2 linked regions of the Ovis aries genome follow. The protein of the gene in region 1 interacts with the protein of each later gene in a biochemical or structural test. Links are inferred from orthologs where the notes say so. Each region holds a gene or a part of one and is shown on either strand. Other genes may lie near its edges. The genes, in order: DNMT1 and SETD7.

Region 1 (3,807 bases):
CCAGTGAAAGCCTGGGCATCAGGGGAGACACGCTGGCCAGCCTTCCTCCCGCCCTGCCTCTGGCTCCTCAGTGCCTGCCCTGGGCTCCCGCCTCCCACTTCAGGGCTGAGCAGGTTAAATCTAGTCTTCACAGGGTGAGACTTTTGAAATACCCCCAAGGTCTGTTTCTCCCTGCCAAGCTAAATATCCCACTTCAATAGGAAAGATTCAAAAAATTCCCACCCGCAGATCTGTCTCCTGCCCAGATGTAGGTGTTGTCAGCGTCGGGCAAAGGGCCCACTGGTGGGCTTCCATCTGAGCGTTGTCCTTGACGCCCGAGGTGACCCAGTCGAGGTGGGAGCTGTGTCCTGCCAGGGTTTTGTGAGCGCAGTGACTGAAGGTGGGTGGCTGTGGCGCTCCGGCTCTGAGCAACCTGTTCTGCAATCGTCCTCAACTAAGGCTCTCCCAGGACCTGAGTTGCTTTGAGGGTAGAATGACTTTTGCCTGGAAGGGCCTCCACATGCTTCTGAAAAGCCTGATTCTGAATCTTGGGTCCAGATTACAGAACACATGTGATACACAGCAGTCTACCGACAGAGTGGTTAATATGCTATCTTTTTTGTTTTGGCTGTGCTCCGTGGCAGTGTGGGTTCTCAGTTCCTTGGCCTGGGATCAGACCCAGGCCCCCTGCAGTGGAAGTGTGATTGTCTTTGCCGCTGGCCCACCAGAAAGCCCCTGCTCAGTCTCTTCTATAGCCAGACCTCTGCTGAGCATGCAGCGCCAGCCAGGAGGCCCCTGCCTGGCAGTGCCTACATCTCAGCACTCAGCTCGTTGCCTGAAACAGGGTCTGGCGCAGAGGAGGCACCCACAGATGATGTTTGCAGCTAGAAGCAGGATCCCCACCCACTCGGAGTAGCCACTGTCTGTCACTAGTCCAGCAGAGCCTGTCACTCACATTCCTGTCTGTGCTGCTTACATCTGCCCTCCCTCTGGGAAGGTCCGTCTGGGAGAGCTCTATTCCTGCCCTTTAGGTTGGTGGTAACCGAGCGCCTTGCCTGGGTGCCCAAAGGGAGGACCCACGCATGGTGGAGGCCCAGTCCTTCCCTGCCCAGGGCAACCCCCCTCTGCTGACGGACGCTGGCTTAGCTGGTTGGACCTGTTCTTACCCCGCTGCCCACAGGAACACTGCCCAAGCCAGGAACAACAGCCTCTCCATTTCCTCTGTGTCTTTTGCTTCTTGTTCTTTTATTCTCTTTGCTCCCTTCCCCTGAAAAGAGGCAAGACACTCATCTTCAGTAATCAAGTCAGACCATGATTTTTCCAGCGAAACTCATGACAGTTCTGCATACCTAAATGGCTAGGTTCAAACATTCACAAGGATGAGCTCTGGGGGGAGGCGCCAGCCAGCTTCTCTGACTTCCTCTCTCTCCCTTGTGTGGGGGGCACCCTGTGCTGCCCCAGGTGACCCCGACTCCATCTCCTGCTCAGGAGTGCTGCCACTCCACTCTCCCCATCCTGGCCTTTGGGGGTGTCAGCTGACTGTTCCCGCAGCCTCCTATTGCCCTGGTTCACTCTCTCTAACCCCTGTATGCCCTTCTGTGGACTCTTGGTCAGGTCCAACTGGAGGAAGACCACCTGTTGGTCACTTAACTTGGGAAGGACCCCAACTATGCTTCCTCTTTCCCAGTGTCTTTTTTTTTTTTTTAATCTTAATTTTTGACTGCACTGTTCAACATGCGGGATCTCCGTTCCGCAACCAGGGATCAGACCTGTGCCCCCTGCATTGGGAGTGCAGGCTCTTAACCACTGGACCGCCAGTGTCTTTAAAATAACATTGTTATAGAGTGCCTGTATTATCCCTTTCCACTATCAGAAAAACACCCCCAGAAAGGGAACCTCATTCAGATCGCAGATGACCTCTTAATGTGTATGTAGGCACTGCAGTGGGGCATTCTACACTTTGGGGGTGGGGGGGAAACTGTTGTATTTTCTAGTATCCGTGTTGAAGTTATTTCCAAAGTTCTTTAAACTTTGGTATTATAGATGAACAGTGTTGCTTAACAGGTATTTTCTTTCTTCCCTTTTTTCCTTCCCCCAGGCTCAAAGATTTGGAAAGAGATAGTTTGACAGAAAAGGTAAGGTCATCTCCACCTTAACAAAATCTGTTATCAGATGTGACTATCTGATAGACTGTGTGGCTCAAAGTGGAAATGGCGCTCTCTTCCTTAAGCTCTTAAGGATAACTTGGATGTTTTTGTCTAATGTGCTATATTAATAGGCTGTTATCAGTTAGCTTTTGGTCACTCATCAAGTTTCCCAATCTAGGCTGCCTATCATCCGGTCTAGATTATAACTTGCCCTGGTCACACTGCTTTTTCAGAATCCGTTTTGTTCTACTATACCATTATGTGTCTGTTTCACTTCCTAATCTTCCCATTTTTCACCACCCTATAGATGGTGTGATATGATCTTTTTTAAAAAAAAAAAAATTATTTGACTGTACCAGGTCTTAGTTGCGGCACATGAAGTCTAGTTTCCTGGCCAGGGATCAAACCTGGGTCCCCTGCATTGGGAGTGTGGAGTCTTAGCCACTGGACCACTAGGGAAGTCCCTCTTAAGAAACAATAATAAGTAATATGATCTTAATGGAAATATCACGAACATGCCTTGACTCAGCATTGCCTGCCATTCAGTCATTTGTTATGTGGCCAGGCAGTGTAACTGTGCCTTAGTCCATTAGTTAGAAACTCATAGTTTCGGAGTGTGGGGACTTCTAAACATGTATCCTTCTCTTAGGAATGTGTGAAGGAGAAACTGAATCTCTTGCACGAATTTCTGCAGACAGAAATAAAGAATCAGTTATGTGATTTGGAAACCAAACTACATAAAGAGGAATTATCTGAGGTAAGTCTTCAGGGTCCTGGCAAGTGCCTTGGCCTCCCGGGTAACTGGTCTGTGACAGGGAGGCCGAATAAGCCCAACTCCCCATGTCACCTGTTAGTTATATAAAGGGAACACTTGTGTTTCTTATTATTCTCTCATTGCCACTTGTTTACATTCACTGCTACTCAAATTATCCTTTCCTGCTGTAGGAGGGCTACCTGGCTAAAGTCAAATCCCTTTTAAATAAAGATTTGTCCTTGGAGAACGGAGCTCATGCTTTCAGTCGGGAAGCGAATGGATGTCTAGAGAACGGGAGCCAGACAAGTGGTGAGGATTGCAGAGTGGTAATGGCAGAGAAAGGCAAGCCCCCCAAACCTGTCTCCAGACTTTACACGCCCAGGAGAAGCAAGTCTGATGGAGAAACAAAGTGTAAGAGCATTCGACTCGTTTGACCTTGTTGGAGTGTGGTATCACCAAAGAGGAGGACACTTAGACTTGGCGCCATAGGTTCATCCCACCCCCTCCCCTGGGTAGCACTGATTTCTTGTGTATCCATATATGTATATATTTTTGGCCGCACTACTCGGCTTGTGGGATCTTAGTTCCCTGACCAGGGATCATACCTGGGCCCATGGCCGTGAAAGTGCCCAGTCTTAACCACTGGACTGCCAGGGAGTTCCCCCTTGTGTACACTTCTAACTAGCTTAGATGTAGAAAAGAAATTTTTGTCTTTGACCAAGTTTGAGAGCATTAGATCTCCAAACGTGGATGAATTTGAGGTATAAAGTAACAGGATCTACTGATACTTAGAACTAAGTTATATGCCTGTTTAAGCTAAACATTTATTCTTAGACTCCTTCCCCGTTTGTAGTCAGAGTAACTCTTCTGAAATGTTTAAAAGAATAAGAGCGTGGGACTTAAGCTCAGGTCAGGCTCTTGACCACT
Region 2 (4,429 bases), on another chromosome or scaffold:
GCTTTCAAACTCAGCTACCAACTGTTTCCTATATGTGACTGGCTCATTAAGAAATAAAAAATAAGAAGGGTGGAGGAAGACTATCTGGAGAAGCGAATGGCAATCCACTCTGGTATTCTTGCCTGGAGAATTCCATGGACAGAGGAGCCTGGCAGGCTACAGTCCGTGGGGTTGCCAAGAGTCAGACATGACTGAGCAATTCACACACACACACAGGGAGACAATGTAGTATGGTGGAGCAGGGTTCTGGGGTCCCAGCCTGTCCCCTGCATGGCTGAGGGTCCTTGGATCAGTTCTTAACTCCTCTAAGCCTCAGTTTCCTCCTCTGTAAAATTAGGACAGTATGAGTACCCACATCATGAGACTGAACGCATAATGTGTGTGTGAAACACTTAGCACAGAGCCTGCACATGGTAAGAACTAAATAATTAGAGCAAGAATGATAGCTAAGACAATGAAATTACAGAGAACACATGCTCTATATATGGACAGAGGTAGGTTAGCTGGTTCTTCAACACCAAGATGCTCAGACTAGCCTTTTACCAGTCCCCTGTGCGTGCGTTAGATCTTGACACTATTACAGACAGCACTTTAAAAGGCCAGGAATGGCTGGAAAAAAGCCTACTTATACACATGCATGCTCTAGACACTGTGTGAGTCGGAGCCTTGTGCGCCTCTAAGGACTTAAAGACTCTGCGTTACTTTGTTTACTGTTGGTATTACTGAGTAACCATGTGTCCTGGATTGCTCCAGACATTCAAGGTTTAAGCCAGTTGTGCCAGCATAAGTATTAAATAGTGACCCTTCTCAAGTATATTCTGACTTTGGATATAATGTCTATTAACATACCCCCACATTCTATATAACAGAAACTTCCTTGCTTATATAAAGAAGTTTCTCTGCTTCCACCCATTGAGCAAACTCAAAAGCATCGATGTATTTCTAAAGTGGCTTGTTCACATTCTGCAAGGAGCCTGGGACTGTGGACAACTGAGTCTTAGGTTTCCAAACAGCTTCAAAGGGTAAGGTAGTTTAACCTTGGGAGCACTACCTGTGATCAAGGGTTTGCATTATTTTTACGAGTCTAAGTAAACTTTGAAGAATGAGAGCAAGTCCTAACAATATGAGAGTAGCATTTTTCAATTATCTTTCATAACATGAAGGCATAGGTAGTCAATAATTTAAAGAAGATTACCAATCAACGTCTTTGGGCCCCAGGAAGTTCCAGCATTGGCTTTACTTAGAGAGAAATAGTTCAGGGCATTGTGAATTTAAAACAAAACCAACACTCTCTGAAGCACGATAAAGAAAGAAGTTTCAACACTTACATGAAGACAACTTTTAGAGAATTCAAAAATATTATCCAACTTAGTCTCTCCCTAAGACCTTGGGAGCATTGCAAACGGAGTCAATTATGTTGATATAAAAATTGATTTTTTTTCCTCTCAAAGTAGCAGTAACTGCATTCTCATGAGTCTGTAAGCCTTGTCACTTTGTTTTTCTTTACCATTTCTAAGAACTTGTTTATACAAATTAGATAGAAAGCAGATTCAACCAAAAGCTAAAAAATGTTTACTTAGCTGTTTGGTTAAAATATTCTGGAATAATACCACGCAACACTGCAAAACATCACGACGTACCGTCCAGGGTAGAATCATAGAAATAAATAACGCTAACGTGTATTTTCCAGTATTCACTGTTACAAAATCATAACGTCTCAGGATACAAACAACTAGATTGTATAACGTCCCCACCTCGTTTTTTTAGAACTAGCCAAAAAAAAAAAAAAGAAAAAAGAGGTGGAGAAACTCAGCAAAACAAAGTGGCGAGAAAAGTCGGGGGAGGGGCGCTGGAAGCGAAGGGGCGGAGAAACACGACACAGAGGCGGTGATATCACCCACAGCCAACTGCATGGAATTCAGAAAGTTAAGTGTCACCCAGCAATTTGGGTCCGGGCTTGCGGGGCGCCTGCACAGTGTGGCGGCGGCGGCAGCCGCCGGGGAAGCAGGAAGGGGGAGGGGCGGTGTGGCCGAGTGCGCTCCGGGGCAGCGGAGGCCAGGTCGGCGTGCGTTCAAGCCCCGGGTCCGGAGCCTTGTCCCCGGCCCTGCAATGATTTCATCTTTTCGGAGGAGCGACCGCCCGAGCCGCGGCTGCCACGTGCCTGGTCCAGCCCTGTGCGCTGCGCCGGGGGACGGACCCGGACGCGACCGCGGTCACCGCGGATCGCAGCGGCAAGCCGAACGAAAGGGCTGGCGCCGGGAGAGGGGCTCAGGATTGCTCCGCCGAGATCGCCAGCGGCGGCGGGGGAGGGGGCCCGGGGGGGTCTGTCCTCCTGCGCACCTCCATCCCCCATCCCCGAAAAGGGGAAGGCCGGAGTGCCGGGCAGGTTTTGTAACTCCGAGGGCGGATGCAGGCGGTGGCCGGGCAGGATGGAGCAGCCGTGCCCCTCTCCCGACCCCCCGGGGACCCCGGCCCCGCTGAGCCCGGTTCCCGGCCTGCGCCCCGCCGCTCAGTGCGCGTCGCCGGTGGCGTGGCCGTGGCCGTCCGGCCCCTGCGCGAACCCGGCCACCCGCGTAGGGGACGGTGGCGGCCGCTGGGGGCCCGCAGCCGCGCCGGTCGCAGCCCGCCACTCCTTCCGCGTCCCGTGCCCCCTCCGGCGCCTCCTCCCGGGGCCCCGCAGAGATGCTTGTACCTTCCACCGCCTCCTCCACCATCTCATCGTCGCTATCCATGGCGGCTGGGGACCCTGCCCAGCTCGGGGCCGCGCGGCTGCCTCGCGTCCCTCCGGGTGCTCGCGGCGGCTGAGCGAGCGCTGGGGCTGAACCCTGCGAGTTTGGAGGAGGAGGAAGAGGAGGAGCAGTCGGGGCTGGCTCGCACTGCCTCCCCCTACAGCCCTTTCAATTCCTTGGCCTTAAGCTGCTCCGTCGGCAGCCGTCCCTCCTCCCCTTCGCCCACTGGCCCCCTTGCCTCCCAGGCTCCGGGGTGCCGCGGTGGCCGCCGCCGCCGCCGCTGCAACTTTCTCCTGTAATACCCCCTCTTTGTTATCGAGCAGCTGATCCGCTGACATCACCCAGCGCCGGTGCGCTCCCTCCCTCGCTGATTGACAGTTCCCTGTCCCTTCCCAGAAGTAAGGCTCCTTAAAACGAAAGGCGCTCCCGGTCCGCGCTGGCTCTGCGCCCCACCCCTCCAGTCCCCCGGCCCATTACGGGTTTAGCTTTTGCTTCTGCGAGGTTGGGTGCGCTCCGAGCGCTCTCCTCGCGGCGCTTGGGACCTCCGGGTAGCCACCCTTGGGGGTGGGGAGGGCTCAGAATGCTCGACCTCCAACTATGCCAGGGACCCCTTGGAAGTCCGCGTTCAGTGCTCGCCAGCCGTAGCAGCCCTCCCCTCCCCGCCCCGGCTCCTCCGGACAGCCTCCAAAGAGCCGGGCAAGCTCAGGCAGCGTTCCTGATACTCCAGCGCCTCAACTTCCTCTCGCCCTCGCCCCCACTTCATCCCGTTTGCCACCCGGAGCTGCACGAGTGCGGCACGCACGGGAGCGCAGGTGTCCCCGCGTTGCAGCATCACATCCGCGAGCAGGTTTCCCAGGCGCCAGGGGGTGACATCCAGCCCGGATGCCGCCGGACTGCGGCTCCCACCCTAGCGCGCTGCGTCCCCACCCTCCTCGGGACCATCAGGCGTCTCGTCTCGAGTGATTCAGAGCTTCAGCAAATCCAAATGGCAGCGGGCTCTTTATCAGGCAGGAAATAAGCCGCGCGGAAGGCCTGGCAGGTCCCTCCTCGCGGTGGTGGTAACGGAAAAGGAGCCACCGAGTGGAGCTCCCGAGGAAGGACCCTCCGTCTGGCGCGCCTCCCCCTGTCGCCTCCCGCCCAGTACGTGTGATGTCCCCAGCCGTCTCTTGGTTTCTCCAAGTGCCAGCCCTTCACAGATTCCTGCTCTTGAAGTGTAGAACATCACGGGGCCCCCGCTTCCCGGCCCCGCCACTTAGTGTCATTACGGCGTTGCCTCTTACAGGTGGCGGTAAAGGGCGGCTGTAAATAGCTGGTTAAATGGATGCAAATGTACACAATGTACCGTGGAATTACCGGGTGCCGCTCTGGGCATCTGCCAAGAACAGCTACTGCACGCAGCGGGCGAGGGCGGGGAGCGGAGAGGAGGGAGCAGAGAAAGTTGTTCTGTTTTGTTTTCTGAACCACGAATGAGACTTTGCGGATTTCGGAGTACTTCCAGTACCCGGGAGACCACGTCTTGTTTTGGGGCTTTGTGCTTAAATGCCAGGTATATATATATTTTTTAATCGAGTACTGTGTTTCTTCTTAAACTCAGTTTTTATTCGGTGAAAAAGAGCACAATGTTAGGGACATTTGTCTCAGCACTGCCAGAAATTTCAGTCTGTTTTGGCTGAGAAAGAGAGGGAAGGCCCCTGAGCCAG

Evidence for each region.
Region 2: of the proteins of DNMT1 (region 1) and SETD7, one has a biochemical effect on the other in vitro, tested with the Homo sapiens proteins (2 studies listed by BioGRID and IntAct, with this or other methods). The link is inferred for Ovis aries from reciprocal best matches to the Homo sapiens genes DNMT1 and SETD7.

The regions. Positions count from the first base shown.
Region 1 is NC_056058.1:12,575,821-12,579,627, reverse strand, and holds part of DNMT1 (DNA (cytosine-5)-methyltransferase 1), read left to right. Parts: intron 1-2,077; coding exon 2,078-2,114; intron 2,115-2,775; coding exon 2,776-2,883; intron 2,884-3,071; coding exon 3,072-3,291; intron 3,292-3,807. UniProt on the Homo sapiens protein: Methylates CpG residues. Preferentially methylates hemimethylated DNA. Associates with DNA replication sites in S phase maintaining the methylation pattern in the newly synthesized strand, that is essential for epigenetic inheritance.
Region 2 is NC_056070.1:18,223,510-18,227,938, reverse strand, and holds the start of SETD7 (histone-lysine N-methyltransferase SETD7), read right to left. Parts: upstream 2,836-4,429; 5' UTR 2,733-2,835; coding exon 2,693-2,732; intron 1-2,692. UniProt on the Homo sapiens protein: Histone methyltransferase that specifically monomethylates 'Lys-4' of histone H3. H3 'Lys-4' methylation represents a specific tag for epigenetic transcriptional activation.